Drosophila melanogaster: one gene and its partners. The protein of the gene in region 1 interacts with the protein of each later gene in a pairwise test. Each region holds a gene or a part of one and is shown in the gene's direction. Other genes may lie near its edges. The genes, in order: pie, GstO2, ara and Cpr64Aa.

Region 1 (7,573 bases):
ATTCCGGCGCACGAGCGGGTCTTCCATATCTTCAGCAGCAGTATTATGATGGCAAACACATGCGACAGATCCCCAGCAAAGCGAAAGATATTCATCGTGATCTAATCCGCCGACTTGGCTACTTGGCTGCCCGGTTGGCTGTTTGATTGTTCTACTTCCTTTCGCTGCGGCTGCGTCACGGAACGCACGCCTATATGAAAATGGGAGTGTATACTATAGCAATAATGGCGGCATTCAGTGTTTCAACAGCTGCATACGTTACCAAAATGACTTTTCGCCTAATTTGCCAACGAGTAGAGATGTGAGGGCTTTGCCGCTTCGGAAAAAAACTTGTCAGAATGTCGGCATAAACAATGACGTGGCTGATGAATAAGAATAAGTTTGATAACATGGCCACTGCCTATCGATATCGATAAGTGCCGCCACATGATTTTTTTAATGAAAATTCGACCATCTCTAACGAAAAAAATTGAGAAAAAACATACTGATTCAAATTTTTTCTTTTTTCGTTTTTTATCATAAGATTTAAAAAAAATTTAATTTTTTTCTCTTCTTTTGCTAGGGATAGTCGAATGTTTGTTTAAAAAATCATGTGGATTATCAATAAAAAATTTATATTCGATAGGCTCGATTGAAAGACACCAGAAAATGCTGACCGCCGCACACGCCACTCGATTTATTCTTCATGCCTATCGAAAAAAGCCGTGGTGAGGTTCCGGCATCTGTATTTTATTTACAAGCGATAGAATTAACATAGAAATCAAATAAAATGGTAAGTAAAAACACTGTTTTAAGCATCTGACTGCAATGGTTAAGTTTTGTTTAGTTGTATTAATTCATAGATTCTTACTTTCGCGGTTGCGATTTCGTATTTACATAGGCATACATACATACAAACATGCATGCGAATAAATAAAACAATTTGTTTTGGCTAATTAACTATTTTATATTTGTTTAAAATTATGATTTTTAGTGATCTTCGATATTACGCTGAGATTTGCTATTTCAAACTCTGTGGTTTATTAAAATTTTTATAAATACCGGCTTTTTTAAAGGGTCGAAATGGTTTACAAAAGATGGCGCGACTTTTATGCATGCTATTGTATTTCACAATTAAATCCTTTGAATTCCTTTATTTCAGACGATCGGCAAGAACAACAAAATGATTCAGCACCTGAATTATCGGGTGCGAATCGTGCTGCAGGACTCGCGTACCTTCATCGGTACCTTCAAAGCCTTCGACAAACACATGAACTTGATCCTCGGCGACTGCGAGGAGTTCCGGAAGATTCGCTCGAAGAATTCCAAGGTGCCCGAGCGCGAGGAGAAGCGCGTGCTGGGCTTTGTATTGCTGCGCGGCGAGAACATAGTTTCACTGACGGTGGAGGGACCACCGCCGCCAGAGGAGGGCCTGCCCCGAGTTCCCATTCCGGGAGCAGCTCCTGGTCCGGGAATCGGTCGCGTGGCCGGACGCGGAATGCCTATCAACTTGTCCGCCGTGCCAGCGGGTCTCCAGGGTCCCGTGAGAGGTGTGGGCGGACCCGCCCAACAGCACATGGCTCCGATGGGACGAGGAGTGCCACGAGCACCGATGATGGGTGCACCGCCACCGGGCATGATTCCCGGCGGCATGCCCTCGATGCCAGGAAACATGGGACGCGGTGCTCCGCCACCGATGCGCGGACCGCCGCCCAGCATGATCCGTGGAGCACCACCACCGGGCAGGGGTGGCTATTAAGTATAAAGTACAATCTAATAAAAACTCATTTAGAAAACACCACTTAATCGATGGATTCGTGTATTTATGTGTTGAATGTAAGCATACGTACATACAATGATTATTGCTTTACATCAATTATATGAGAACCTAAGCAGCAGGGACTGGATTTGGTCGTTGCCAGCCACATCGTTCGTTAATTGGGTGTTCCAGTTAAGACCGAAACGCCTCGTGAATGATTATACCTTTGGTACGTGCGTGTGCGTACAGGATGTTTTATGCCCAGATGTTGGAGAGATCCCAGATCTTGATGAGCCTGTCCTGGCCCACTGTCAACAGGCGCTTTCTGTCCTCGTCCAGGTCCATGTAGACGATCGAATGCTTGGCGTCATTGAATGAAGCCAGCGAGGGGCGCTCGACTGTCTGAAGTTGTTTGTAGCACGGATCACAGGTACGCACATCAAACTCGAAGCCCATTATGGGTATGTTAATGCGATTGGTGGAACAGTTGTCGCACACGGCTTTGCCGCAGTGGCGACAATGATGCTGTCGTATTCCTGACAGTCAGAAATTACTTGTAAAACAAAGAGTAACTCAAGTGTAAGCTATTTATCTCACCCAGCTGCTTTTGATCCATCATTGAGCGGAAGTTCCAGAAGAAGGGCCTGGAGCAAAGCTGACAGTTGTTGGTATCCACCCAGCCAGGAACCTCTTTCCGCATTGCATTCATTTCCCAAAAAACCACTACTGAATCTTCGCCACAGCTTATCAGTTGTTGCGTGTGATTCGCGTACGACAGGGCGGAAACTTTGTTGCTACATAATCAGAAGTGCCGATTACTATCTTATTTTATGAATATTATTTAAGATTGGAGATACCTATGTCCCTGCAGCTCGTAAATGGTGCCACGTTTGCCACCAACATCCCAAACTAGCACGGACTGATCGCAAGCTCCGCTAAACAAGAGCTGAGGGCCTTCCACCCATTTGAGGCACCGGATTTCCGCTAAAAATTAACCAATTCGTATATAATTAGCTTACTAAATATCATTTGTAACTTGTTTACCCGAATGTCCATTGAAAGTGGTAATTAGTTGCACTCCCTGAACATCGCACCTTAGCATTGTTATCTGTCCAGCATGATCGCCCACAAAGGCATACTTGGCCAAAGCGTCGAACCTAAACGCAGATTATAATTAATTATATGTTGCTTATAGAATATTTCGCACAGTGCACACATTTATGCCAAAATTTTGTGTAGATAAAATGACTCAGTTGACACGTCATTAACAATAGAAGGTTCTCAAATTCTAAATGAATTCCATAGCCGTGAAGAATTGCAGTTTATTGCCGTGTCAAAGAAAGCAGTTTAATCCAATTAAATGACCCGCTTATCCCATATCCACTGTCGCACCCCCTTCCCCCTTTCACCATCCATTTATCATACTTACTGGAGAGCCGTGCATGGTGTCTCAAAGTTGTATCCGCCCACCCGTTTGCCGCTCTCCGTGCAATGATAGGCGAACTGCTTATCTTTGCCGGCGGAGAGTATCCACTTGTGGGTTTTCGAGAAGACCACGGCCATGACCCGCGCTTGATGGGACAAGTAATCCCGCAGGAAGGACAGGCGATTGCAGTCTTCGGATAGCGCGTACTGGGTGACCGTTCCGTTTTCCTGGCCGACGTACAGGTGCCGGGATTCCGAAACGTACTCGATGGCCGTGCAGCCGGAAGGCATATACTGGCAAATGCTAGGCCAATATTGACCAGAATCGCGTTTTAGCCAAACGCGAACGGTTCTATTGGGGAAAACATGAAAATGTCAGGCATACCATTTGTGTATATTTTTAATGGGCTACAGCTACGCACTTGTCATCGGAAACGCTAATTACGCCGTTTTCGCCCGGAATTAGGATCGCTGCGTTCACATCGTCGCTGCTGCCCTCCAGCTTACTCAGCAATTCCGGCTTTTTGGAGGTGTTAAAGCGATCATTGTTGGTCCGCTGAGCTGGTTTTATCTCGGCAGCCATATTATTTAAGGTGGATCCAGTCCGATGGTACGCCTACGCCCTATTTAACGCACTCGATGATAATGCGGTTATAAACAATCCGATTCTCGGACTGGGGAAGGTGAATGGAGATACGTGATTCACAATCAATTAACAAAACTGTGTTATTTTGTTTAACATTAAATATACTGAACTTTGTTGTTGGAAAGCTCGTCTAGATAGCGACGCCAAGTTTAGGAATGCTGCGGAATAGTGGAATCGATGAAATGAAAATAGAATCTTAATTGTTAGATATAGTTTTTGCGTATTATTGTATATTATTTTGCTATTAAAAATACTGAAGGTATTTCGTGTGATGTGTCGCAGCATTATGTATGCATATGCACGCACCACATTTTATAAACATACAAACGAGCATTTGAATCTTGAATCTCAGAAATCGCTTTATAAATGTATAGTCTTATGATTTTCATAATGGCATATCATATCTAATAAAACCTACGGACCACGCACAGTTATGTTTCCGGTTATCATGCTATTTAATTATTAATCACAAAATATTTGTTTATATTGTGTTAAGTTTTTAATACGTTAAAATTTATTATTACACATAAATAAATAATTTTATTATAAGTAGGGTTAACGCAAAATATAGCTAGTTAAGCAGATTAGATCATTGTGAGTGTTGCTCAGTGGAAACAGAGCTTTTCCAAAAATGTGCTTGGTGGAATTGAAGTATAATAAGGCGCTGTTGTATTTATTGTTTTTCAAAATCCTTGCCCGCCAATAGAGTAAAAAAGGAATGCAAAACATGTTGATAGTTTTAAAAATTATTCATAATAGCACTCAAACGAGTTGATCTGTCCAGCAAAACTAGTCTGAGCGGCCAGCTTACAAATGGAAGATAACAAGGAGCTGCAATGCTTAATATGCAAATATTCGGACACTGACGACCTGGTCTTTGGCGAATGGATGATTGTACGCAATTTGCAGGTGCACTATTTTTGCCTGGTAAGTGCGATTGTTGTGAAATGAAGAGAACTCCCGCTAATGTAAACTTCCTGATCCAATCCACCAGCTACTCTCAACGCATTTGCCGCAGCGCGGCGGAGATAGCAGTGGAATCCTGGGATTTCTGCTTCGCGATATCCGCGAGGAGGCAGCCGCCGCGGAGAAGAGGAAATGTTGGTACTGCAATAAGATTGGGGCCAGTTTGCAATGCGATCGTTGCCGGTCATTGTTTCACCTGAAGTGCGGCCTGGAGAATCGCGCCGTTTTCGAGTTCTGCGGCCAATACAAAAGCTACTGCTACAAATGCAGGCCGATGGATGACTACAAGCGACAGCTGCAGTCGAATCCGCCGAGGAACGCCACTTGCCCCATCTGCTTCAGTTCCATCTATAAGGTAGAGCTGCATTGCGTTGTGTACGGTGACTGCTGCCGCCTCGGATTCGCCCATAAGAAATGCATGCGTCAGTACGCTCTGACCTCCGGATATTACTTGCGTTGCATTTGGTGTCGTTCGGAACGTTTCAGGGATTCCATACGCCTGCAGTCGGTATTCGTGCCCGATCGCGATGCCACGTGGGAGAAGCAACGGAACGCCTATAGGGAGCTCCACGAGCGCAATCTGAAATGCGACCAGCCCAACTGCCTGTGCCCCAGTGGTAGAACTTATAATAGATTATCGTGGGTGATACTATGCTGCAGTTCTTGTGCCGCCACTTCGGCTCATCTTAAATGCTTGGTGGGCGCCCTGCGACTGCCGAAGAAGCGCGAGCGTACAGATTTCAAGTGCTCTATGTGCCTGGACGTGGAGAGGAGGATTGCTGAAGGACCGGCTCGCACAACAGAAGAAACCAATGCTGACGGCGACAACCAGGTGGATGGCTCTTTTTATGTGCAAAAATTGGGACCCGATGCTGCAACTCGATCCTTAACCCAGACTCCTGTTTTCTCCGAAGAAGACGAAAGCGAACGAAGTAGTAATATCACGGTTATATTCAGCCAACCGAAATCTAACGCAACAAGCGAGAGGTTATCCTTATCGCCGCCACAGGAGGAGATGATAGTGGAAATTCCTGATTCGCCAGAGGCGTCGCCAAAGACGTCCATCGATGAGAACCACTCGCCGCAGCCAATAGCAAGAAGGGACACATCCGACTCACCACAGCCAATAGCAGCAAGTGAGATCCCCGACTCACCGCAGCCAACAGCAGCAAGTGAGATCCCCGACTTACCGCAGACAACAGCAATAAACGTAAACCCTGAATTAACGCAGCAAACAGCATTAAACACGATTCCACACTCACCGCAGCCAGAAGCCAGCTTCTCAACGCAGCTAGTATCACAAACTTTCGATTGTCCACAGCCGCAGGAACAAGCTGTGGCGAAAGCTCCCAACTCACCGTCACTGCCGAAAGAGGATCCAAATACTTTACTTGTGCTAAAATCGGGCTTTCAATGCCCTGGCGAACCATTTTTCTACTTGGTTATCTACGAATTTGAGCACGGCACATGCATGGGTGAGTGCATTGGTACGTGTGTGCTGCGATTTAAAGAGGATGACCCGCGCATTCAGGACACCTCGCAGGCAGCTTTGGAACGCGTCAACATAACACCAGACGATGTATGGTGCCGCAGCGAGGACCGCGGCATCTTTGAGCATATCGAGAAGTTCCACGAATGGTACAGATCAGAGGGGTTCTCTTAAATATTGTTTAAAACAATTCTTAATGTTCTTAATGTTTTAAACAATTCTCTTGTGTGGGAATTAATTCGTCATAGAATTCTAGTCTCTTTATGCATATATTGTTTCGCATGATCATCCAAAAAAAAAAAAAAAACAAAAAAAAATTTCCTACCTCTGAAACCACTTTAAAAAGGTTTAATGATTGTTAAACTAGAGAAGCATGCAGTAAATAAATTGTGTTTTATGTTTTTGTATTTATAATTTAATTCTAACCTATTATTGGAGTACACATTGTTTCACTTCTCCATTGAAACCATATCTCGGCAAATAAAGAAGGCGGCTACCAGAGCTGCAGTTTGAGCCACTTCTGTACATCCTTTGGCCAATCTCTCCTCGATCTGAGCTAGCTTTACAATAAGCTTGTTCATGACCGACATAGGCAGCTCAACTGTTTGGAATACATATCAATAACTTGACTTGATGATAACTTGATAAAAACTTACGTCTCATAACAAACAAATGCAATTCTGTAATGATGTCTTCCAAAGCGAGACCTCTTGCGTACTTGGCACTTTCGACAGCTATGCAAAGAGAAGAAAGAATCATTAGTTTTGATCTTTCGCCATTTCAAATCGCATCATACTTTTGAAGGAGTCCTCCAAGCTACTGCCGGATAGCAAGGCCTTCAATATCTGTTCAATATCCTGCCTCAACGGATAGCCCACGCACATGTAGACGTTATCCTCGTTTACCGTATCAAATGCCATCACGGTACTCTGCAGGACGTTCAAGACCTTTCTCATATCACCTTTGGCCAGGGTCAGCAGTGCCCGCTTGCCGTCCTCAGTTATCTGAACGCTGATAGTTGATAGATTTTAGGTTAGTAATAAGCTATTTTATGCAGTTGAAAGACCTTACGCTTCGGCTTCGATGATTTTTTCCAGTCGCGGCATCATCTGATCCTGGGATAATGGAGCGAACCGAAAACGGGTGCAACGCGACTGCAGCGCCGGAATGATTTTGCTCAAATAATTGCAAATCACACAGAAGCGCACGTTGTCCGTATATTTCTCAATTATGCGGCGCAGGGCATTCTGGGCATCGTTGGTCATGGCATCGGCCTCGTCCAAAATGATCAGCTTAAAGGTGTCGCAGA
Region 2 (7,842 bases), on another chromosome or scaffold:
GCATTCATAGCTGATATTGCATTTTTTTTTATTTGCAAATATACATATCAATTTTTGCAAATTACGCTGGCTCATGAATAATTGATTGGCGGCGGGCGTTTGGCGGAGAAATGGAAAAGTTCGCGCCCGATAAGGATGCTTCCCTTTTGGCCACCACCGGCACCACTATCTATGATTCATGCACCACCTACACTTCTAAAAAAAAAAAGACAAAAACAACAGAACTATGTGGAAGGCAGCCAAAAGTGCGAAAGGAACACATGTTGATATATGGGTCAGTGGCGATAACAGTGACGGCTTCCAAAGGGGGTTACGCATCCGGAATACAACTTAAATATTTCATATCCCTCAATGCGCAATACAAATATAAAATCTAATGACGTTATGTGTAAGGTGATAAGAGTATTTATTTACGCAAAATGTAAGCTGTGTACGTCGAACACGTGGATTGTAATTGTAACTATGATCGTTTGGATAAGTCTATTGATTTAAATAGAGAGAATGCTAGAGATAAAGCATACGCGATGTGAAGACTCATCCACGTTGTCTTCCCCCTTGAAATCTTATCTAGCCCCGCCAGTGGATGATAAGCATTCTGGCCCGTTTGATAACACTAATTCCATTGATTTTGCGTAATTAGGCTCTGAAGATAGCGAGCATGGAAATGGTATCAGAATTGCGCTGAATTATGTATAGAACACATTGATGATGTCGATCGAAAATAGCATAAAAACGTGCTGAATATCAGTGTAGTTACGTGTGCATCTGCGTATGTGTGTGTACAACAAATACATATGGATGTAAGTGAGCGGGTGTCAAAATCACACGCACATGGAAATGTCCCGCTATAAATAAATACGAGTGGGTGGTGGTGGGTGGATTTTGGGCGGTGGGAGGTGGAATGGGGGCGCGTCGCATGCACTTTCCATTCTGAACGAACTTATGCCAAGATTAAACAAAGGCGAATAATTAATGCAAGCCCACTACTAACTCACCCGTAAATTTGCCGGACTGTTTAGCACATCGCACACTGTAACACACACTCACACAATTCCCACTAGAGTTATTGCGGGATCGAAGATAATGCTGGACGATTCTGGGAGCTATAGCTTTTGCCGATGCGGTGGGCGTGAATGAAAGAGGCCGTAGAGATTACGCCGAGTGTCAATTACGTTGCAATAATCTCGGTTTGGCACGGGAAATCGAATCGAAGCGAGTCCGCATGGAGCGGCGAGATTTGCACGGGATACGGAGTACGGGATGCGGCCACCAACACCAACACGGGCTCAGTTACGCAAGGGCGAGCTTACTGTAAACATTTTCCGGACACGCTAAACATATGCCGCAGCAGCCATCTCTCTTTCGCTCACACCGCCAAACACAAGAAATCCGCAACTAAAACAATTTTGTTATAACAATTATCGATAGGCGGTAGGGATGTGGAAAAACACCGAATCATCCGCGATAGGTATCGGTGTTCCGTTGCTATCAACGCTACACATCGATGGCGATCAATGTAACCTCTTGCAGCAAATATTAAAAACGATAAATATAAATTGATTTTAGATTAATTATGTATATACAATATGTATTTGGAGCAGTGATGCAAATAGTCTATTATGGATATATAACCATAAATTATTGAAATTAAAGTCCTAAATAATAGATGAATAGATGACTGAATTATATTTAAAAAAATTAAAGTTGTAAAAATTAATATTTAAGATTAAGATAGATTTTTTTAAACCGATTAAATAATAATTGATTAAAAATACATCAATCCTGTAAAAAGACAATACGTTATCGAGCCACCTTAACGTTTACTGTCAAATATCGATAATTGTCATAACCCGCAAAACAGGTTGTGTTCCTTTCCAGAAAAAATTGTATTGCCAATATGAGCAATACTCAGCACTTAACTATTGGTTAGTATAAGTTACTAAGTTCCAAATTCACATTTAAAAGGCGCATATATATTGCAGGCTCGCCAAAGCCCGTATTTCCGGATGATGGGATCTTAAAGCTGTATTCGATGCGCTTTTGCCCCTATGCACACCGTGTGCACCTGGTCCTGGATGCCAAAAAGATTCCCTACCACGCTATCTACATCAATCTTCGCGACAAACCCGAGTGGTTCTCCCTGGTGAGCAGCTCCACAAAGGTGCCGGCACTGGAGCTGGTCAAGGAACAGGGAAATCCTGTGCTGATCGAGTCGCTCATTATTTGTGACTACTTGGACGAAAAGTATCCGGAGGTGCCATTGTATCCCAAGGATCTGCTTAAAAAAGCCCAGGAGAAGATTTTAATCGAACGTTTCGGACAGTTCATCAATGCCTTCTACTACCTGTTGCTGCACGACAATCCCGAGCAGCTGGTTGACACCGATCACTATGCCGGATTGGTCGTTTATGAGGAGGAACTGAAGCGACGTTGTACCAAGTTCTTTGGTGGCGACAGCCCAGGCATGCTTGACTACATGATGTGGCCCTGGTGCGAGCGCTTTGACTCTCTGAAATACACTTTTGAACAAAAATTCGAATTGAGTCCGGAACGTTTTCCCACTTTGGTGGGTCCTATTGGTTTTCTAATTATGTCTTTTAAATTACCGAGATTGTTCTACTGCAGATTAAGTGGCGCGACTTGATGATCCAGGATCGTGCTGTCAAGTGTTTCTATCTGGATGGACAGACCCATGCCAAATACATGAACTCCCGGCGATCGGGCCAGGCCGATTATAATATGCTATAGTAAGATTTGAAGATTATACATATAATGTGTGACTGATCCATTTCTCGTTTCTAGCAATGAGGCCAAACGTGTCAAATTGGGGTAGTCTACGGGATGATGGCGTTTCCACTTCAGCATTGTACCTTTTGCACATATAACATGTAACACATGTACCTACTACGGCAGCATTATTGTGATTGAAAAATAAATCTTTGCATTTTCATTGTTTATACGGGTTGTAAGTACGTTTGTTTTAGAATTAGATTAATGAAGGTATGAATGATAAATGGATATGAAAATACTTATCTTAGAGTAGTCGTTTGTAGTCTTTAATATGTGGTCAAACAATTTTCTTAAATATGAGCTTAAGAATTTTAAATTCACCCGCTCAACAATCGAAATATATTCGATAAATTCACTCGTCCGGCGACTGCGACCACTTTATAAGGTACCGGAATCCCTCTATTTGTTGTCAGTCGATCGGAACTACTTTGCCACCAACATTTCACGTCTTGGGAATTATTTTAAAATTGTTAACAAAATGGCCCTGCCGCAAAAGCACTTCAAGAGGGGTGAGTTGGGGGCACTTCAAGGTCATCGGGATAGTGACGCTGCAAAAGTTGGCAATTGATTTCATAGTTTTATCTAGACCCCACTTTGAGAGGCGTAAATTACGCAGAGATAGAGCTTTAATTTTAGCCAAAGCATAATGGAAAACTTTCTGCTGACGTCACAAATCACCCTTCAACAGGTTCGCCCAAACCGGAGATCCCCGAGGATGGAGTCCTGCGTTACTATTCGATGAGATTCTGCCCGTACTCGCAGCGTGCCGGTTTGGTTTTGGCCGCCAAAAAGATTCCACATCACACGGTTTACATTGATCTTAGCGAGAAACCAGAGTGGTACATCGACTACAGTCCATTGGGCAAGGTGCCGGCTATCCAGTTGCCAAATCTGCCTGGACAACCGGCTTTGGTGGAGTCCCTGGTCATTGCCGAGTACTTGGATGAACAGTATCCGGGCGAGGGCTCCCTTTTCCCCAAGGATCCATTGCAAAAGGCGCTAGACAGGATTCTCATCGAACGCCTGTCGCCCGCTGTCAGCGCCATTTACCCCGTGCTGTTCACCAAGAATCCACCCGCTGATGCCATCAAGAACTTTGAGACCGCTCTGGATGTCTTCGAGCAGGAGATCACCAAGCGCGGAACACCATACTTTGGAGGCAACAAGATCGGCATTGCTGACTACATGATTTGGCCCTGGTTCGAGCGATTCCCGGCCCTCAAGTACACTCTGGATGAACCCTACGAGTTGGACAAGACACGCTATCAGAATTTGTTGAAGTGGAGGGATCTGGTGGCTCAGGATGAGGCTGTCAAGGCCACCGCTTTGGATGCCCGAATCCATGCGAAGTTCATGAAGACCCGCCATGAGAACAAACCGGACTACGATGTAGCCTTCCAGCCCTTGTAAAGGATGTATTAATGGATGACAGGAAGCAACATACTTAAACTAACATTGTGAAACCGCTTTTAAAAAAATATTAAACCCATATATAAAGTAGACCATCAAATGTTATTTCTACCTTTTCAACTGGGATTTGGGTCAGTGCTTTTATTCCTGCCAATTAATCAAGCTTACATTGATCTTACAGGTTCCACCAAGCCCGAGCTGCCAGAAGATGGAGTTCCTCGTTTCTTTTCCATGGCATTCTGCCCCTTCAGCCACCGAGTTCGTCTGATGCTGGCCGCCAAACATATTGAACATCATAAGATCTACGTCGATTTGATTGAGAAGCCTGAATGGTACAAGGATTTCAGTCCTCTGGGCAAAGTGCCAGCCCTGCAGCTTACTGGGGTGAAGGACCAACCGACCCTCGTGGAGTCGCTCATCATAGCAGAGTACTTGGACCAGCAATATCCCCAGACGCGACTCTTTCCCACGGATCCGCTTCAGAAGGCGCTGGACAAGATTCTAATCGAACGTTTTGCTCCAGTGGTCAGTGCCATTTATCCTGTGCTGACTTGTAATCCCAACGCTCCGAAAGATGCCATACCGAACTTCGAGAATGCCTTGGATGTTTTTGAAGTGGAGTTGGGCAAAAGAGGAACGCCCTACTTTGCCGGCCAGCACATTGGAATCGTGGACTACATGATTTGGCCTTGGTTCGAACGTTTTCCCAGCATGAAGATCAATACGGAGCAAAAGTATGAGCTGGATACAAAACGATTTGAGAAGCTGGTATGTTTAAGTAATCCAACATAAGATGATGCATGTATCTCATCAAAAATCCATTACAGCTCAAGTGGCGCGATTTGATGACCCAGGATGAGGTTGTGCAGAAGACAGCTTTGGATGTCCAGTTGCATGCTGAGTTCCAGAAATCGAAGACCCTTGGAAATCCCCAGTACGACATTGCCTTCAAGGGTACACCATAGAACGACAACTGGTTTAGACAAGATCAAATCTTTGGAACCGGTTATGGACTGCATTTATGTTTTATTCATTCCATGCGAAAAATTCAATAAACCAAGTGCATCAGGCATCCTTGACCAGCAGATTGTAATTGGGTCGACCCAGGCTCCGTGTACGCAGGAACTCCGCCTGAACCTCGGCCTCCATGTAGAAGGCCATCACAGCCGGATCTCGTTTCATGCGTTCCAGCCAAAGGGTCTGAAAAATGGTATACTAATGTACTTCATCACTCCTGGGATACACGGACCTGCTCACCAGCTGGGGGAAGCGACTCTGATCGTAGTTATAATCCTCTCCACGCTGCAACTTAAGGAGCTCGAGGCGCTCACACCAGGGCCAAATCATATAGTCCAGAATGCCCGTCTGCTCGCCACCAAAGAATTCCGTACCACGTCGAGCCAGCTCCCTTTCGTAGATGTCCAGGCCGCTCCAGAAGGGCTCCAGATCACCGCCATCGGATGCCTTGAAGAAGGCACCTAACACCGCTCTAAATCGCTCGATTAGTAACTTGTCCTGCACTTTCTTCAGCGGATCACGTGGATAGAGTGGTCGCAATGGATACTGCTCGTCCAGATATTCACAAATCAGTAGCGACTCTGTGAGCACAGGTGGTCCAGGTTCTCGCACGATTTCTAGAGCCGGCACCTTGCCCTGTGGATTCTTCTCCAGCAGCCACTCCGGCTTGTCTGTGAGATTAATGTAGATGCTGTGATACGGGATCTGCTTGGCGTCCAGGACCAGATGCACCCGTTGGGCAAATGGGCAGAAGCGCATCGAGTACAGGCGAAGGATACCATCTTCGGGAACATCCGGCATGGGTGAGCCTAGTGGGCGCATTTATTATCAATTATGATTATCCTGGTTTCCTGGCTCTACCCACCTTTTGCCAAATGCCTGCCGTTACTCATGATGTGCGTGCTCGGGTCCAGAGATGCAAGTGGTGATAGCGATTGTCATTCGAGTGATTTATAAAGTGCAGCTCACTGCCCTTCGCCGGTTGGCTTCGCTTACGCGGCTGAACTTGGTGGCTTGCGGCTGACACACATACCAAGCCATGTGGATACAGTGAAGCCCCCTTGCAACCTGCATATTGCTCCAAAATATTTGTTTAAAACAAAACTTTTTAAGAACTAAGTTTTTCGAACCACGTTCTGTGAATCTGGAACGGAATTCTTGCCTTTCTAGCCTTAATTCATTTCTTTGTCACATAAAATATTTTAGTTTTTATTGTTTTTAGAACATTATTAAATCTCCTTTGTTATATAATAGTTTCATTTTCAGTACCGATCTAAGCCAGCAGATCGTAGTTTGCATTGCCGGCCTTGCGGGTGCGCCAGAACTCGTTGTGCTGCTCGGGAGTGGCATAGAAGGACTGCACCACCGAGTCCGCCTTCAGGAGGGCAATCCACTTGGTGATCTTCGGGAAACGACTCTCGTTGAAGTTGTACTCCTTCTGCAACTTCAACTCGATTACAGAGAGGCGTTCGAACCAGGGCCAGATCATGTAGTCCACGAATCCCGGCTTGTTGCCGCCAAAATATGGGGTGCCCCGCTTGGTCAACTCCTCCTCAAAGATATCAAGTGCCGTCCAGTAATCCTCCAGACCGGTGCCCTGCACAAGGATGTTTATGAAGGCACTGGTGATGCTGCTGAAACGTTCCAGCAGAATCTTGTCCTGTGCCCGCTTCAATGGGTCCTTGGGCAGCAACGGATTCTCCGGGTACTTATCGTCCAGATACTCGGCAATAATCAGCGACTCGATGAGCGAGGGCTCACCCTTCTCCGCCACCAGCTGCAGGGCAGGCACCTTAAGCAACGGACTCACTTCCACCAGCCACTCTGGTTTCTCGGTGAGATTGATGTAGACACTGTGATAGGGCACATTCTTGGCGTTCAGGACGAGATGAGCCCGCTGAGCGTAGGGACAGAACCTCATGGAGTACAGGCGAAGGACTCCATCGTCAGGGAGTACAGGCTTGGGGGAACCTAAAGATAGAATTTATTTACCAGTTAAATTTAGGTTATACAAATAAATCAATAACTTCATGAGTCACTTGTGGAACCCTAAAATCCACCCCTGTATTATTATTTGTTTAGCAAGTCATTGCACTTAAGTTAATGTTGATAGGGCCCAGTCGTGATAAAGCTCAAATTTTGTAGCTACGTTATCTTTTAGAGTGTAAATATTATGGGTTATCTGATATCGGGGTGAAAGCTATAGCTAAAAATGTAAGTAAATTTTACAAATCAAATAATTAATTTAATGCATTACCTACAATTGTAAAAGAATAAAGATCGTATTGAAATTTACCAAATAATATACCTTTCTAACTTTTTAACCAAAAAATCCCAGTTATTCATGCCAATATTCTTTAACATTATGAAATATAAAAATCGTTATTCGATAATTACGCTGAATGTTGGAGAACTTGTTTTATAAATAATACTATAAACACTCTAATGACATGGGCGTTTCTCTTGGCGGCGGCGACAACTGGTTTTGCTTGCTCTCTTACCTTTGGCCAAATGTTTACCAGAACTCATTTTGTTTAATTGCAGAACTGAACAAATTCGCTTAACTGTTGAAATGTCGACGGTGAAATGCGAACTGAGTTTTCTCTTCGACGGCGCTCTGTTTAT
Region 3 (8,132 bases), on another chromosome or scaffold:
CAGTGACAGATGTTGCAATTAAAACGGCATAAAACGGTGGAGGAAATGCCACCACCAAAACTGCTATATCCTTGATCGAAATATATATATATTTGTGTATATACATATGTATGTTTTATCGAGTGGCGTGAAAAGTGCGCGCTGTCAGTTTGACTGGCGGACAGCTCAATTGTCAAAATAGGTTTTAAGTGCCGTCGACTGATTTGTAAGTGAAGTGCACTTCTTGCCACCGAAAGTGGCAACTGCCAATTGTGCGATTTCAGTCCGCAGTCTCGGATCGACGAGGACTTTTTCGAGAATTCTTGCCACTCGATTCTCGAACTCAGAGGGTGGTCAGTGTGTGGCTGCCGCAAATGGAAACGCCCCATGTGGTTGCCACTCGTCGTCGTCTGGTGTGTACCATCATGCTGACCCATTGATTGATTGCATTTGGCCCGTCGCTGCCACGCCCCCCGCCGCCACTCCGCCCACAGACCCCCGGCCACCCCCTCTTGCGTCCTTCCCTTTTCGTCCGGCGATTGCAAAAGCGCCACTCGTAAAACGCGCAACACAGCAAATATTGTACTTAACACCCGGAGGGGCACTTGGAACGGACTCTACGCTCTTGTTGCCGCCGCTGCACTCGAAAAAAATACGTGCTCCCATTTAGAATAAATATTTTTAAAAGGCCTTTTGCTAAGAAAACTACCTTAGAAATATTAGGAATAGGCTCAATTTTTAATACTTATATTACGAACTTTTAGAAGCACACTTTATATAGCTTAATTATTTTATGGCATAATTAAATAATATGTACATTGAAAAATATGCATTATATATTTATAAATTATGTATGAAATTTATAAACAACCTTTAGTTTTTCATATTTAATCTATTATTTTTCCAATTTTAAAAGCAAACTTACTAATGTTTACCAATAAATTCTATACACCTTTATCGAGGTTCCTGTAAGTGATCCCCGATTTTGGCCAAGTGTGCGACTGCCGCTGGGTTTTGCCTTTGGCCTCGTCATGACTTGGCTTCCCTTGGAATTAATTCACATTTGGGTTTTGGTGGGGGCAACAGCTTTGGTCATTTGTTGCTTTCAGCTAACACGCTGCTCTCATTTTCCGGCGCTGCTGGGCCGCGGTGGGTGGGGTGCCACCACCCCCAGTACCACCCATATCCACTCACCATAGCCACTCCATACTGCTCTATTCTACCCACACTTCCAGCCACACCACGTGGATCGTTTCATCCACACACATATATCTTATGCGGAGCGAGGTGAGGACACGCCCAGACCTTATGGCGCAATTCCGTCGTGTAAGTCGCACTTTTTCGGTTTTATAGGTTAATTTGCTTTTATTACATTATCATAAAAATAAACAAACGACAAAAAAAAGAAGAAGAGAAGAACAGGAGAACAAACAAAAACACGCTGCAAACAAGCTTGCCAACATCCGCGGCACCCGCAAAAACATTTGAGGTTTACCTCATCTCCCCCATCACATCGCATCACATCCACGGCGGACTCTCCATTTCCGGAATGCGTGTCCTCGACCGGAGAATTCATCCTGCCGGAGAATCGTAATCGTAAAAAATAGATCGTAAAGCGGATGTCCAAATATGTTAGTGCGCATTAATAGCAAAAACTTTTTTCCAAATCCAGCATTTTCACGGGCTCATGTGCAATATGCGGGTACCTTTTACACACTAAACTTATGGAATTTTATAAATATAGTTAAAAGTTCATAATAAATATGGTGTAAGTGAAAAAGTGGGCCATTCCTTGCCCTAAATTTGACAGTATAATATATATTTTTTATGATTTCTTAAAAGACCGAACTTTCTGCAAAACACACGAGGTTTAAGTTATCTCTAAAAATATCTTAGAAAAATCAATTTTTTTTTTCAATTAATGTATCATAGTGCAGAAACATACGTTGCATGCAATTTATCAAAAAGAAAATTAGGTCAGGCTTTTCTTGTTTTTCGGATACACGTCAAGTGCTATTTAATTGCAATTAAAATTGCTTATGTTCTAGAAGATATTTTAAGTGGCGAAATTAAATTGGCTAGCATATTTAAGTAGCATAACAATTAGTTTAGTTAGATAATTAAAGTATTTTAATTGCCATAAATATTGTTCGCCAAAGTATCGCAAATGTTGAAAATACTTAAATGATCTGTGTCTGTTAAAAAGCAATTGCAGTAAAAAAATGCAATACACATTTTATAAAAAATTTAAAATGTCTCAAAGTTAATATATGTTATGATTACTAATAACATAACCTAAGCTAAGTAAAAATCTGGTTGATATTTAAAAATCCCAAGAATTAATGGTATGATTGCCTGTTTGAGTAAGGATATTAATTCCTTCCATAAAAAGTTAAAATCTTGTTGATAATTTAAGTAACTGGTATCCAAGTGGAATGATATTTAAACAAAGATCGCTGGAAATGTTTCATTTAAACCCGAATTAGGAGAGATTAATTAGTGAGGATCGATAATGGGAGTTAACTAAAGTGCAATGCAGCGATAAAGATAATGACAGACGATAAATACAGTGCGAGTGTCTTGGAATTTGCTGATCTTATTAACGCTTTTGTGTCGCCACTTTTGGCCATCGCAGCACTTTGTTGCCACTTCCAGCTGGCGATCGCTGGTGGCGCACTTCCAGTCGATGGGCGCGCAATTGTGAAAAGTAAACAAACAAATGACTAGCCAAACAAAACAAATGGGCGTTGCCCGGGAATTGTGGGTAAAACAAGAGACCATCGACAGTTGTGAAAATGCGTCCCGCTCCCTACCCACTTCCTCTCCCTTCACCATCCGCTCATTTCATTTGTATTTTCTTTTCTTTGCTTTCTTTCGCCTGGCGACCTCGCACCTGTCCATTAAATCAGCCAGCCGAAGCTCATGCAGCCCTACGATTGGTGGTTGCGCTGGCCTCACTTCCAGTGAGCCGCGAATACGAGTCACTGGCGGGGAATCGGATTGGAATTGCGGAGAGAGCGACCGGCCAAATGCCACCACCAACACCAGACAAAACCGGAGAACGGTGGGCGTTGCTCTAGAGTGCTTACACTTCCAGTCTGCCGACTCCGTTATTCTTGTTGCTCGCTCCAAGGCGAGCGGCATTCCGTTTCTCTTTCGATGGGGGGAGGCAGCATATTGTTGTCCCGCTTCCGCGCCAACTGCAGCGGAATGCGCCCCAACAGCGCAGCAACAACAACAGCAACAGCAGCAGCAACACGGCCAACAGCAACGGCATTCGCAACCAGTTCGTGTTCGAACGTTATAAGGTGCACATCTGAAAGGGAGCGTGTGCTGAAGCGCCGCGTTTTTGCCGTCGATATTTCGTCGATTTTTCGTTGCCGCCGCGTTTTGCGAGTGCTGTTAGCCAGAAAAAAAAATAAAATATATATAAACAAAAATCCACCACAAGTGACAGCTGCAACTGCAAATACCAAACAAATCCACGAGATACTTTCGGTTGGCCCAATGTCGTTATGGTCGTTATCGCCAGTGCCCACTGTGAACAGACCCAATCGAAACTGAGCTGTTAAACCCCCGATAAGCACATCATTTGATGTAGCAGCTTCACCGTATATCCTTCAGCAGACTGCCCACGAGCGAGAGAGAGAGAGAGAGAGAGAGAGAGAGTATCTTAAGACTAGGTCTTATATAGTCGTATAGTCATATAGCGAAATGGCTGCCTACACACAATTCGGATACGGAGGCTTTCCGTCGGCCTCGCAGGTGGGTCCTCTAATTAACTAAATTTGATCTAGATGTATATACTATATGATGGCTATTCATATTCATTAAGTAGCAAGAGATCTCAAGATAACTAGAGGAATGAAAATGTTTATTAACTGCAGATATGGGAACCTATTTAGATACAATATTATTCATACGACTGATATAATCAACTGATTATTGTAATTATGATTGCCTTAAAGATTCATAATTTTTATGTTTGGAGGTATTAAAAACAGAGGTCACAAGCAAAAAGCGTTGTAAAATCATATTTTTTCATATACATATTTAATTTTTCTATTTATAATCACAACTATCTTTTCTGGAGTGCGTTCCATCATTAAAACTGAACCCGTTATCTGAATATTTTTTCTAAAATTTTTTTCCTAAAAAAGCTTGGTTGGGTTTAAATTCTATTTGTGTGTTTTTTAAGCAATCCTTACCACCAACTTTCATCTGAGTACTTCCACCGACTCCAGTCAAAGTTATCCGATTATTTGATCTTGAGGACCCACTATAGGGCAAAACCGCTAAAAGTCTTTGATTGTAGCGCTTTTGGACTTTTCACTAAGCAGCAAAAACAGCTGCTTGAGGCAAACTTTTTCCATGTTTATGACAGTAAATTGGTGGCAGGCCAGCAAAAAACCATAATAAATCAGATGGCTGATAAATGGCCTGAGAAAAAGCCACTCCGAGGAATCAGGCGTTTTTGTCAACCTTCAAAATTCACACAAAAAACGATTCGGCGTTTTAAAGATGTTGCACAAAATTGCGCGGCTTGCAGGTGCAACTAAAATATTTGTAAAATATTGTGATAAATTACAAAAGTTGTAGAAGCTTTCGAAAGGCCTAGAGTAAATTAAATTTCCTATTGATTGCGTTTGCCTGGGCTAAACTTTAATTTCCCAGGCCATAATACTTGGTTACCAATTGCCTGGTTCTTCCTCCAAAGAACTCTGGCGTCTTTCCCATTTCGGACCACACGAGCCCAATTAACTAAAGTCGAAAACGAAAGCAAAAAAAAAAAAAAAAAACTAAAGAAAAAGGAAAAGAAAAAAGGGAAAAGCCTTGGCAATCAGAAGGCCAAGACGATGGGAGGTGCCGATTGAGGCACGCTCAGGTGAAACTGTTGAAAAGTCAATAAAATTCAATTGCGGCGATCGTAAATCATAAAATTCATAACCGTAAAGTGACAGCTGAGGGCAGGCTCTGGGAATGCCCTCCTGGCTACGTGAGGAGCATCCATTGAATCTGGAGATGGCAGATAGGATAGCATCCGAATCCCAACGAACACGATCGATGGACCAATGACTTGGCTCCACTCTGATCTACTTTACATTGGCTTCGTTTTGGGGAGTGAGGAGAATGAGCGGAGTGCGGCTCCAAGTGGCGCTTATAGTCCGGTGCTATCAACTTGGTCATCTGGAGGAGATTGTCGGGGGAGGCACTCGGATGCAGAATCGCGGTAGCCTGGCCGCTTTGGTGGACCCACGAGATACAAGCTGCGATTAGATCGCTGCGTTTGCGATTCACAGAAATTTCCAAAGCCAGTGCAACTCAGAAGTTGGGTATCTGGCATTGGGCATTGGGTACTGGTTACTGGTTACTGGTTACTGCTCACTGGGCACACACATGGCCAGCAGATCTTATCTGCGCACTGTCGCCTGCCAGTCGTCGTCGTCGTCTGCATCCTCCAACTGCGAACAACGAAAGTTCCACGTTCCATCCGCAGACGTGGCCAATTCACATGGCCCACTGGACCACTGGCGCTTCCTCCGAGAGCGGAAAGGTACTGCTGGAATGGAGTCCTCTACCTCATGAATAATGCATTCGCTCAAGGAGCTGAGGAATCTGGCAGGCGCATAGAGCTCCCTATATGGTGTCGCCTATCAGATTAGTTGTCATAATTCTCATATTGTTGCGTTTGCCGAGAAACTCTGGGAACGCGTTGCCTCCTTTCGATCGCTGAACATTCCCATACAGAATCGAGCGAAATGTATTTGCTTTTTACTAATTAAAATCACGCGGCACGGTGGAATACAAAAAAAAAAGTCAAAAAAGTAAAACAACTGAATCATTCATTTGTAAAATTTTGATAAATGGCTGTGAGTTTTCACATTTTTTTTTTCGATGTCCCTATATATAGTCAGCGGTCTTGGCCTCGAAATTCTATTATTTGTGCGTTTCAGCACGACTCAAAAAAAAATATGTTTTTCCTTTATTAATTATGATCGGACTTGAGCGACCTTCTAGTAGATCACTCACCTGCTGAATTTCGAGGGGATCAATCTCGAATCGAATCGATCGCATCTGATAATTATAAAATAATATGCATGTGCTGCGATTTTCGGGCGAAGAAGATGGTTCTATTGTCAGATTATGTTAATGACGCGGAATAATTATGCATTCTGCTGGCTGCATTTAAGTTTTGACCGCGAATTCGGCCACAGAAGCCGTGTTAGCCGGGCTAAAATTGTTGCTGCCCAGATATTATGACCTTTTGCTGGGCACTTCGATCAATTTGTAGCTGTCCAACGGGCGGAGCACTCAACTTAATTATGGGTTCGGTGCGTCGATATTTTCGCCCAGAAGACTAAAGTCTTCAGATTCCAGACCTTAAGACTTCCAGACTTCAAACTTCAAGACTTCCAGACTTCAAACTTCCAGACTTCAGTTTGCAGATTGCAGACTGTGGGGAAATTGAAGCAGTCCGCTCGTTTTGCAGATTGCCCGCGGTAATTTTCAGAAGCCTTCGCCAGCATGTTGCCCGACTCCATCTCCATCTGCATCAATTCCATGCATCCCATATCCACATCGATCTTGTGGATGGGTCCGAAAAAGTCGGTCTGGTCTGGTGCTGGGACCTATAGGCGTCGGCTGCCACACCCTCATTGATTTCTGGCATTTTTTAAAATGCCCCCAAGAGAACTGGCTTCGTGGGCTTGGCACATTTTGCATATTAATTGCCAAGTGAGTGGCGCATGCCATAGGCGAGGTTCCACTGTGTAAAAGATGGAGGACATCACATCAGGCTGCCCCCGTTGCCGATCCGTCGCACTTGGAATCGATTTGCTGGGTAATTGATCTGGCCGCCATTGCAGCGAAGTTCGCGAATCCCGAACTGCACTCCCATCCGATCCAATCCACTCCATTGATTAAGGGAACTTAATCGCCGCGGGATTATGAATCCCGTCCAGCTTCTGCGCTTTCCTGCCAGTGGCATTGATTGTGTGTTAACACCATATTCGCTTACATGTTATCGATGCATCTTGTAATGGGTGCCTACTGTCGATTTTTCGAATTAAATTCGCAATTACCCAGCGATTCAGGCGGATTTTGTGTCTTCAGTAGGAGGATGGCCTGCAAAATGGTACATTGATCTGGGGGATGGGTAAACAACATTGCCGGACATCAATATTTATGAAGTTTCCAGTACGGCAGTTAGCATGACTTACTCGGCATTATGATGCAGAAAATTAGCCATTATACATGGACGTGCGTTTCCTGTGCCGCGTCGATTGGAGGCGAGTCATCCCATTCCCGGGCAGGTTTCCATCCTCGCAGCTAGTTGACATCTAGTTTATGGCGCTGTTCAAGGATAGTTTAGATAATTATTAAATTACTTCTCAATTTTCTAAGTAATACGGACAAAGTGTTGGTACTTAAGAGAATCTGTTTATAAAGTCTTCACTTTTCTTTGGTTTTTTTTTTTACTTTTCAATAATCGGAGCTTTATATATATTTAAAAATTGAAAAAAAAAACAGTAGTATTCAAGTGTTTAAATCTCGTAATATAAAAGCACGAAATAAGTTACCAAAATCATTTGCTTGGAACATTCTTTAGATCCATCAATGAAAACTATCTTATCATTTGAGCAGCGCAATAAACTAATTCATTGGCGAAATGTTTTGAGATAAACACTGTCAGCTTTAGGGTCTGCGTTTTGTGTTCGAAATGAAATATTTTCTTCAATGATTGGGGGGGTTTCTCGGAAGCCCCACCTCTGCGAGTGTGTGTGAGTTGTGGGGTTTTATCAGCGGTTCGTATCTCTATAAGGTGTTCAAAATGACCCTTTTGCCGGCGAGGGAAAATATTTCTCGATCATCGGACCTTTGGTGTTTGAAATAAAAATTAAAATGGCCCCTTGATTAACATGCATTAGTTATGTAAACCAGTGGCGATGTGTGTTTATATATCACTTAAGGCTATCATCAGTCGACTGCCTTTCGAGTTTTGAAGTACCTGTGCACAGGGGTAAAATATAATGCGATTTCGATAATGTCAACTCGATTTTAGACATCATTAGTTTAGCAGCTGGTTAAATTATTATCAATTAAGTATTTCACATCTGAATTATTTTATAACCCTATATAAATCAATGAAAGTC
Region 4 (7,105 bases), on another chromosome or scaffold:
TTGTCACTCTGCCCATTAGATTGTCCAGTTTTTTTTTCCGCTGGCAGCTGCCGCCAGTTTCGAATATAAAACTGAAGACCACGCGGAAAATGCATCTCACATTTGAGCTGAGTTCTCGCAGTGCAGACACATCCAAACCAGAGCTCCCTCATTCTCACATCCTTCGCCATGATTGCCCAGGTGAGTTGGCCAAAGGAGTGCAGCTTTTAGTTGGCTCAACTGATCATGGAATTCCTCGCCAGACTCTGTTCGTTTTGGGACTGATCCTGTCCGCCGTTGTGGCCATTCCCATTGATCCCTATGGACTTTCGGCCCCTGGACTCACCTATGCGGCTCCCAAGTTGCTTGCTGCTCCTGCCATTTCCTATGCTGCTCCCAAACTCCTGGCGGCTCCTGCCATCTCGTATGCCGCTCCTGCCATCTCCTATGCTCCCAAGGTCCTGGCTGCCCCCGTCGCTGTGGCCAAGGTGGCTGTTGCCGAGCCCTACGATCCCAATCCGCAGTACAGCTTCTCGTACGGAGTAACCGATCATCACACCGGTGACTCCAAGCAGCAGGAGGAGACCCTGGTCAACGGAGTCGTCCACGGCAGCTACTCCCTGGCCGAACCCGATGGCACTATTCGCAAGGTCACCTACACCGCCGACAAGGTCAACGGATTCAATGCGGTCGTGGAGAAGAAGGGCGTGGCCGCGGTGGCCATTGCCAAGCCAGCTCTTGCCGTCGCCGCCGTTCCCGCCATCACCAAGATTGGATACGCTTCGGCGCCTGGTCTGAGTCTGGGTGGATACCACTAGGCGATGAACCGGTGGACCAAGCGATGACAAACTCCATGGCCTAGTTGTAGGACCGTTGTTAAATAGTTCTAATGCATTTACCCACTTTTCTGTCAGTCAAAACCCGAAACACAAGGACGTGCGTGCTGTTGCCACCCCGCTGTTGACCCACATTCCCAATCTCCGATCGAAGGATCGCCACCATAGACTACGTTTAGGGATACCGTTCTGGGGATCTGGGGAACGGCTATCGGCCACTTAGTGAATTAGTAACTGCATTTACTGAATAAAAGTTTCGGTACAAAAAAAAAGATTGAATGAATTGTTATTAGTTGTTCGATGGAACTGATCGGTTGGAAGTGATATTCGAAAAGTTGAAATATTTCTAGGAATGCTCCACATTCCCCTGCTTAACCCAGTTAAACATTGGGGTAGGTCCCGAGCTTCGAGTTAAAGCTCCCAATCTTAGATTCCGATCACGTAGTGCCAACTATATTTACGGTTATCACAATTCATATTGGTGGGGCTTCAATGGAGGGGAGAATTGTGCAAGTTGGGCCATTGGATGGCACGTCCATGGGGGAAACTTTTTGCAGGTGGACCAGGCACAAAAACGGGCCATTACGTCAGCAAATGGAATCGTTTTTGGCAGCGGTTGCCACACGGCGCATGTTATCGCGGAAATGTGGAGGCCCTTTATAACCCCGATCCAATGGCAATCCAAGACAGTTCCGACAGCATTGTCAAGCACAAAGCACCATTGGAAAACCACTATCCACCAGCAAATCTAGTCATGGCCCTGATCAAGGTGAGTTGAGGGAATCCTGGTCAAGGAATGTGATTGAACATACTACTAGGATCTGCACAAGTGTATATCTTGATCATAAATCAATCAATGCACCTTACTTAACCCACAGATCACCCTCATCTGCTGCGCTCTGATCGCCGCCATCGAGTGCGCCCTGCTCCCAGCTGCTGTTCCAGTGGGAGTGCCCCTCAACACGGAGGTGGATCCACATCCGCAGTACGCGTTCGCCTATAATGTGCAGGATGCCCTTACCGGGGACAGCAAGAGCCAGCAGGAGGTGCGGGATGGAGATGTGGTCAAGGGCTCCTACTCGGTGGTCGATGCCGATGGTTCACTGCGCACCGTCTTCTACACCGCCGATCCCATCAACGGTTTCAATGCGGTGGTGCAGCGAGGACCAGTTCCGGTGGCTGCTCGCCCATTGGTGGCTCCAGTGGCTGCTCCAATCTTGGGCTAACTCCACAATCTTTCAGAGCCTTTAACACTGCTTGTAACCTAGCTTTTACATAACTTATTGTCTGCTCCTTAGTCCGTTGTAAAGTCAGTAATCATTAAACAATAAACTCAATAAGCCAAAGAAATACATGAAATCCTTCAATCATATTCAAGGAAAATCCGCAAGTATTCGCTTCTCAAGGCGTTGATTAACTAAAATTAATCAAAAGCTCTACTAAAATTCCGAAACGAGTTTAAATTTACACCTATACATTTTTATTAATTAGTCAGTTGATTAGACAAGCTCAAGGCCCAAAATGCATACTTGCCTAGTTAATGATAATGAACTAAATTAAAAACACACTTAAAAGTAGTGCAAAATAACAAGATATTCAATGGACATTTTTTCAAGATCAAAATTTGCGTGTTAATTATGATGCAAATATCGTCGTTTTGAACTTGAAACTTAGCAGTGTGTTAACTTTTTCAATTACATCATAATTGCGGGTGTCAAGAAATGGAAATGGTTATGTGCTTAATGGAACTAATTACTTGGTGAACATTTTCGTGACTCCATGCCATGTAAAAGTGGTTTTGTAATTTTAAATGTAACAAAATGTAACCAGGAAAAGCCCAATTCGCCAAAGAAAGCTGACCCATTCCACTTACATAAGACCGCAATCTTAGATGGTTATCTCCCCTCCAGCTGTCCCACGCCCAAAGAACTCTTCCACTCCAAATGAATACATTCACTCTCGCTGGCCCAACACGCACTCAAATTATTCAATAGCTTAATTGAAAGTAAAAAATCGGCACGAGATGCAATTTTTGGATTACGCAAACCCCAACCCGAGCATGTCCATAGATGTTGCTGCCGGCGCCGACTGCAACTGCAGCAGTTACTGCAACTGCAACTGCAGCAACGCCTAACAAGCGGCGGTACGCGTTGAAAATTAGTGATAATGGCCAAAATTGTCCCAATGGCAACAGAGCAGCGAAACAGAACCAAATCTATACACTCAAAAAAATACTGCATGACATTCGAAAATCTATAGGATTGAACAGAATATTCTACAATTGATATCCTTTTGTATTGTATATGTTATCCAAGTACTTTTTTCGTAGAGATTTTAATATCACATATCACATTCATTGCGGTTAGAACTTTTTCGTTTTCTCGCAGTGCATTGAATGCGTCTGGCGTAGATTTTTTGGGTGGGCGCGGCTTAGAGCAGCCAGCCAGTTTCGAAGGCTGTGCCCCAAACACACCTTTCAACAATCGACTGCTGGGTGCGTGTGCAGCGTCGCCCCAATCTGGTGGCCATAAAGTCGAGACATGGAGACATGGGAGGCACTGGTGCTCATGCGTCCACCACACCTGATCCGTCCGGCCACCCGGCTTAGGCCCAAATAATTCGCTTTCGAATTGAACTTTTTTGTCACGACAACAACGACGGCGATTCAGCCGGCGTGGGACCAGTTTGCTTTGGTCCAGCACAGTCCTCCCAGACTCCCAGACATGCGTGAACCGCCAAGCACCTCCAGCGCCTTCAGCTCGACCGGCAGCTCCTCCACCTCCGGACAGCCCCTTCTGATTGCCATGGGCAGCGAAAAATGAATTATTTTATATTTGTCGCGATCGATGCGAGCATTTCGCATAGGCACAGGCCGCTACAGACTCCACACGCATGCTCACTTTTTAGTTGTTTATTATTATTTTTTGTGTCTTGCTGCGCTTTTTGCATAAATATCTGGTGGCAGGCGGCGGCGGAGGCTGTGGCGGATTTTTGGGCTCGCGTCTATGTGAGGCCTATAAAAAGCAATTGTCGTGCGGCCACAGAACCACAGATCGAGTTCATTTGTCAGTCGAGCAGCAGTAGACCTCCAGTTCTCCACTACTCCATCGCAAACACCAAGCAATCCGTCCAGAATGGCACAGAAACTGATCCTCGTCCTGAGCGCCCTGGTGGCGGTGTCCTCCGCCGTTGTGGTCCCTGGTCCCGGACTGGCACTGCCCGCCTATCCATCGTACCCGGCGCTGGCCAAGGTGGCTGCTCCTCTGGTGGCCAAGGTGGCGGGTCCGGAGCCATACGATCCCAATCCCCAATACACCTTCAGCTACGATGTTCATGTGAGTCAGCTTCGTAAGAAGTTATTAGTCACCTCATAAAAAGCAATGCCAATTCAGAAATCTGCATTCGAATTTTATTGCTTTATTGAGCAACTGGTATGCAAATTTTGATTTTGCCAGACATTTTTATGAAGTGTTTATGGAAGCTTAGAACTATTAAATCCGACCACTTGGTTGAGCAAGTTGGATGTTGGATATAAAATATTTATAGTTTCCTTGAAATCCTTAGGATATAAGATGCAAAGGATTCGTTTCAAGGCATTTCTTTAAATATAAAGTACCTATTCCTATCCTTTGCTAATCCAACAACTTCCTTCTGCCCACCAGGATGGCTCCACTGGTGACGTGAAGAGCCAGCAGGAGACCCGCAGCGGAGATGTGGTGCAGGGCGCCTATTCACTGATTGAGGCCGACGGAACCCGCCGCATTGTGGAGTACACCGCCGATCCCGTGCACGGATTCAACGCAGTGGTGCGCCGCGAGGGAGCTGTGGTGAAGGCTGTGGCTCCGGTGGCCAAGGTTCTGGCCCCGGCTCCGCTGCTCCATGCCTCTCCTCTGGTGGCCAAGGTGCCCGCCTATGGTCCGGCTCTGGCGCCCGCTTACCCGGCTCTGGCCCACGGATACGGACCGGCTCTGGCTCCCGCCTATGGACCTGCTCTGCCCAAGCTGGCCCTGCCCGCCCTCTCGCCCCTGGGCTACCACTAAGTCAGATGGATGGATATACACCACTCGAATAATGCCGACCTCTTGCCGCAACCGAATAATGGACACATCGCGACCAACTTCTCCTGCCACCTGGGCTCCAGTTAGCCGGAGCTCATGGGCCGATCATAGTCGATAGTAGTTGTAGTATTAGTGGAAATGAAAGCGATTTATCGAAATATGTACATACGAATTCACGGACAGCGGATTCCGATTGCCCAGTCCTTGAGTTACGGATCCAATGTTCCCTCATCTACACTCACACATTCTCGAGACCTTTCATTTATGTTTCTTGTCTTCTTAATCTTAAGGCTGTTTGACCGCGATAAATACTCTATAATCCCCAACTCACAATCCCCGTTTCAATTCTTATTTAATCCGAGCCTGTGCACTCGAGTAGAACTCGCAGAATGAGAAACGAGATTGCAATAAACGAACCGAAGCTATGCAAATGGAAAGTTAATGGAGTATTCTTTTACGGGAAATGAAAATTTGGAAGAAAATTACTCTGATTCTTGAGTTTTAAAACGGAAGCTGATTTCTGTTTAAAGCTATTGCTTGAATATTATATCGAAATATATTACAACCATTGAACATTAGTAGGATTCAAAGACAATTACTATATTTGTAGCTAAATAATTGAAAATATCTTATGTTACATATTTTTTGAATATATAATTTTCAAATAAATCGGTTTCCTTCAAGAACTAAAGAGTTATATTTGAATAATATTATTCAACTAATAGGCAATAACTTGCTTGTGAATTTTTTACGCTTAATAAAAAGTAAAGCATACTAAAGCTATTTAATTCGATTTTAATTGCCAAGATTGCGTTTAATTCTAAATCATTGAATGATAATCGCTGTTATTAGAACCAAAGTGCCATTATTCAGTGGCGGCTTAGACTTTGACACTGGCAACACATGAATTCCATGTTAATTTTGGGACATGTAGTGCACTTGTGTCGCTCACCGCCCGTGAGTGGTTCGACCTTAGAACAGAACAAGCCCCACCTGCGTGGGTCACCCACCGGGCTACCGATGCAGTGCGCCACTGAATGGTGGATAGGCTAATCGCTCAAGGTCGGGCCACGCACCACAGAAAACTGCGTAATTCGAGCGTCAATGCAAAGTGGTCTAAATGAAATTTATGGTCTCAATTGGAGAACAGTCCGTCGCCGATCCGATTGCCAATCGATCCGATCGAGTAATTGGCAACTGGCCACCGGGCACAATGGAGAACTTGGAACTGGAACTGAAACTGGCCGCGCCTCGATCATTGGCTTTGGATCCGGATAATTTGATCCGTCCGAGAACTGACCTCCATCGGAATGGTGCGGAGTGGACCCCACATCGTCTGCACATCTGCAGCGGCGCCTTCAATTATGCGCATATTTGTTATTATTTATGTAAAAATGTATAGATCGCATAATGACTTTTCGTTACATTTGCACTTGCATAATGCGACGGGCCTTTGTTGCAATCGACATTAAACGCTTTTGATGATTTAATAAAATTAAATTGAAATGTTAATCGCGACACGGCATGGGCGGGAAACTGGAGGGGGGTAGCTTCAAAAGACATGGGCGAAAGCGTAAGACAATGGGCGTGCTGCAGCTCCAAGCAACCGGTGCTACAATGGGCACCAAATGCTCGAGGGGCTACCAAAATATCGGGAAAATTTTAGAAAGTATTGCGGAAATACGATGATGCACTATAGTTTTCACATTTCATTAATATCTGCGCATTATACACCTTTAAGTTGAGCAACACTTTAAATTTAGACATTCTTTAACAACTTCTAAAGACAATTGTAGTTAAGAAACTTAAAAATGCCTTATGTAAGCAAGTAAACAAAATATAAGCATATAGACACCTGAGTAGATTGATTTTCAATAAAAAACTATAAAATATTTGCATCATAATAAAGTTTTTATTAATAACGACTAAGTCCTAGACCCCGGCCATATGATAATCTCAAAATCTCGCCACTAATCTCAGATTAGTGAATACGATTTTAATGAGATTTTCAGCCAAAAGTCCGACCATAAATAGCCATCGGATTATCACCGATTTGTGGCATTGTGTTTGACGCATTTCACCCATTGTGTCAGTGGAACTACTAAACGTATTGTGGTTACCACCAGCCGAGTGTGTTGATGATCATGATGACTCCGCTGCAGACTTTAATGATTGAGAGGGATTTGTTTGCATTTGGAAGTGAAATTAACACAGAGCGCGGCGGCTTCTGGC

The links.
Region 2: the proteins of pie (region 1) and GstO2 interact in a two-hybrid assay, tested with the Drosophila melanogaster proteins (one large-scale study listed by BioGRID).
Region 3: the proteins of pie (region 1) and ara interact in a two-hybrid assay, tested with the Drosophila melanogaster proteins (one large-scale study listed by BioGRID).
Region 4: the proteins of pie (region 1) and Cpr64Aa interact in a two-hybrid assay, tested with the Drosophila melanogaster proteins (one large-scale study listed by BioGRID).

What each region holds. Positions count from the first base shown.
Region 1 is NT_033779.5:10,419,693-10,427,265, reverse strand, and holds pie (pineapple eye), read left to right. Parts: upstream 1-4,485; 5' UTR 4,486-4,622; coding exon 4,623-4,736; intron 4,737-4,803; coding exon 4,804-6,438; 3' UTR 6,439-6,641; downstream 6,642-7,573. Other genes in the region: KdelR (KDEL receptor), read right to left, coding at 1-95; small ribonucleoprotein particle protein SmB, read left to right, coding at 770-772, 1,142-1,738; Wdfy2 (WD repeat and FYVE domain containing 2), read right to left, coding at 1,994-2,274, 2,336-2,532, 2,596-2,722, 2,783-2,895, 3,168-3,515, 3,586-3,746; RfC3 (replication factor C subunit 3), read right to left, coding at 6,714-6,865, 6,921-6,998, 7,061-7,275, 7,336-7,573. UniProt on the Drosophila melanogaster protein: Required for survival of imaginal disk cells possibly by regulation of cell apoptosis. Required for germline stem cell self-renewal through mediation of BMP signaling.
Region 2 is NT_037436.4:8,518,858-8,526,699, reverse strand, and holds GstO2 (glutathione S transferase O2), read left to right. Parts: upstream 1-3,198; 5' UTR 3,199-3,268; coding exon 3,269-3,299; intron 3,300-3,478; coding exon of another isoform or gene 3,479-4,200; exon of another isoform or gene 4,201-4,289; intron 4,290-4,381; coding exon 4,382-4,968; intron 4,969-5,027; coding exon 5,028-5,165; 3' UTR 5,166-5,265; downstream 5,266-7,842. Other genes in the region: GstO1 (glutathione S transferase O1), read left to right, coding at 1,898-1,925, 1,983-2,566, 2,626-2,747, 2,803-2,833; se (sepia), read right to left, coding at 5,266-5,400, 5,458-6,026, 6,083-6,110; GstO3 (glutathione S transferase O3), read right to left, coding at 6,491-7,188, 7,719-7,746.
Region 3 is NT_037436.4:12,577,410-12,585,541, forward strand, and holds the start of ara (araucan), read left to right. Parts: upstream 1-3,262; 5' UTR 3,263-3,693; coding exon 3,694-3,744; intron 3,745-8,132. UniProt on the Drosophila melanogaster protein: Controls proneural and vein forming genes. Positive transcriptional controller of AC-SC (achaete-scute). May act as an activator that interacts with the transcriptional complex assembled on the AC and SC promoters and participates in transcription initiation.
Region 4 is NT_037436.4:4,205,937-4,213,041, reverse strand, and holds Cpr64Aa (cuticular protein 64Aa), read left to right. Parts: upstream 1-3,863; 5' UTR 3,864-3,949; coding exon 3,950-4,150; intron 4,151-4,477; coding exon 4,478-4,855; 3' UTR 4,856-5,204; downstream 5,205-7,105. Other genes in the region: Cpr64Ac (cuticular protein 64Ac), read left to right, coding at 169-180, 243-797; Cpr64Ab (cuticular protein 64Ab), read left to right, coding at 1,570-1,584, 1,694-2,041.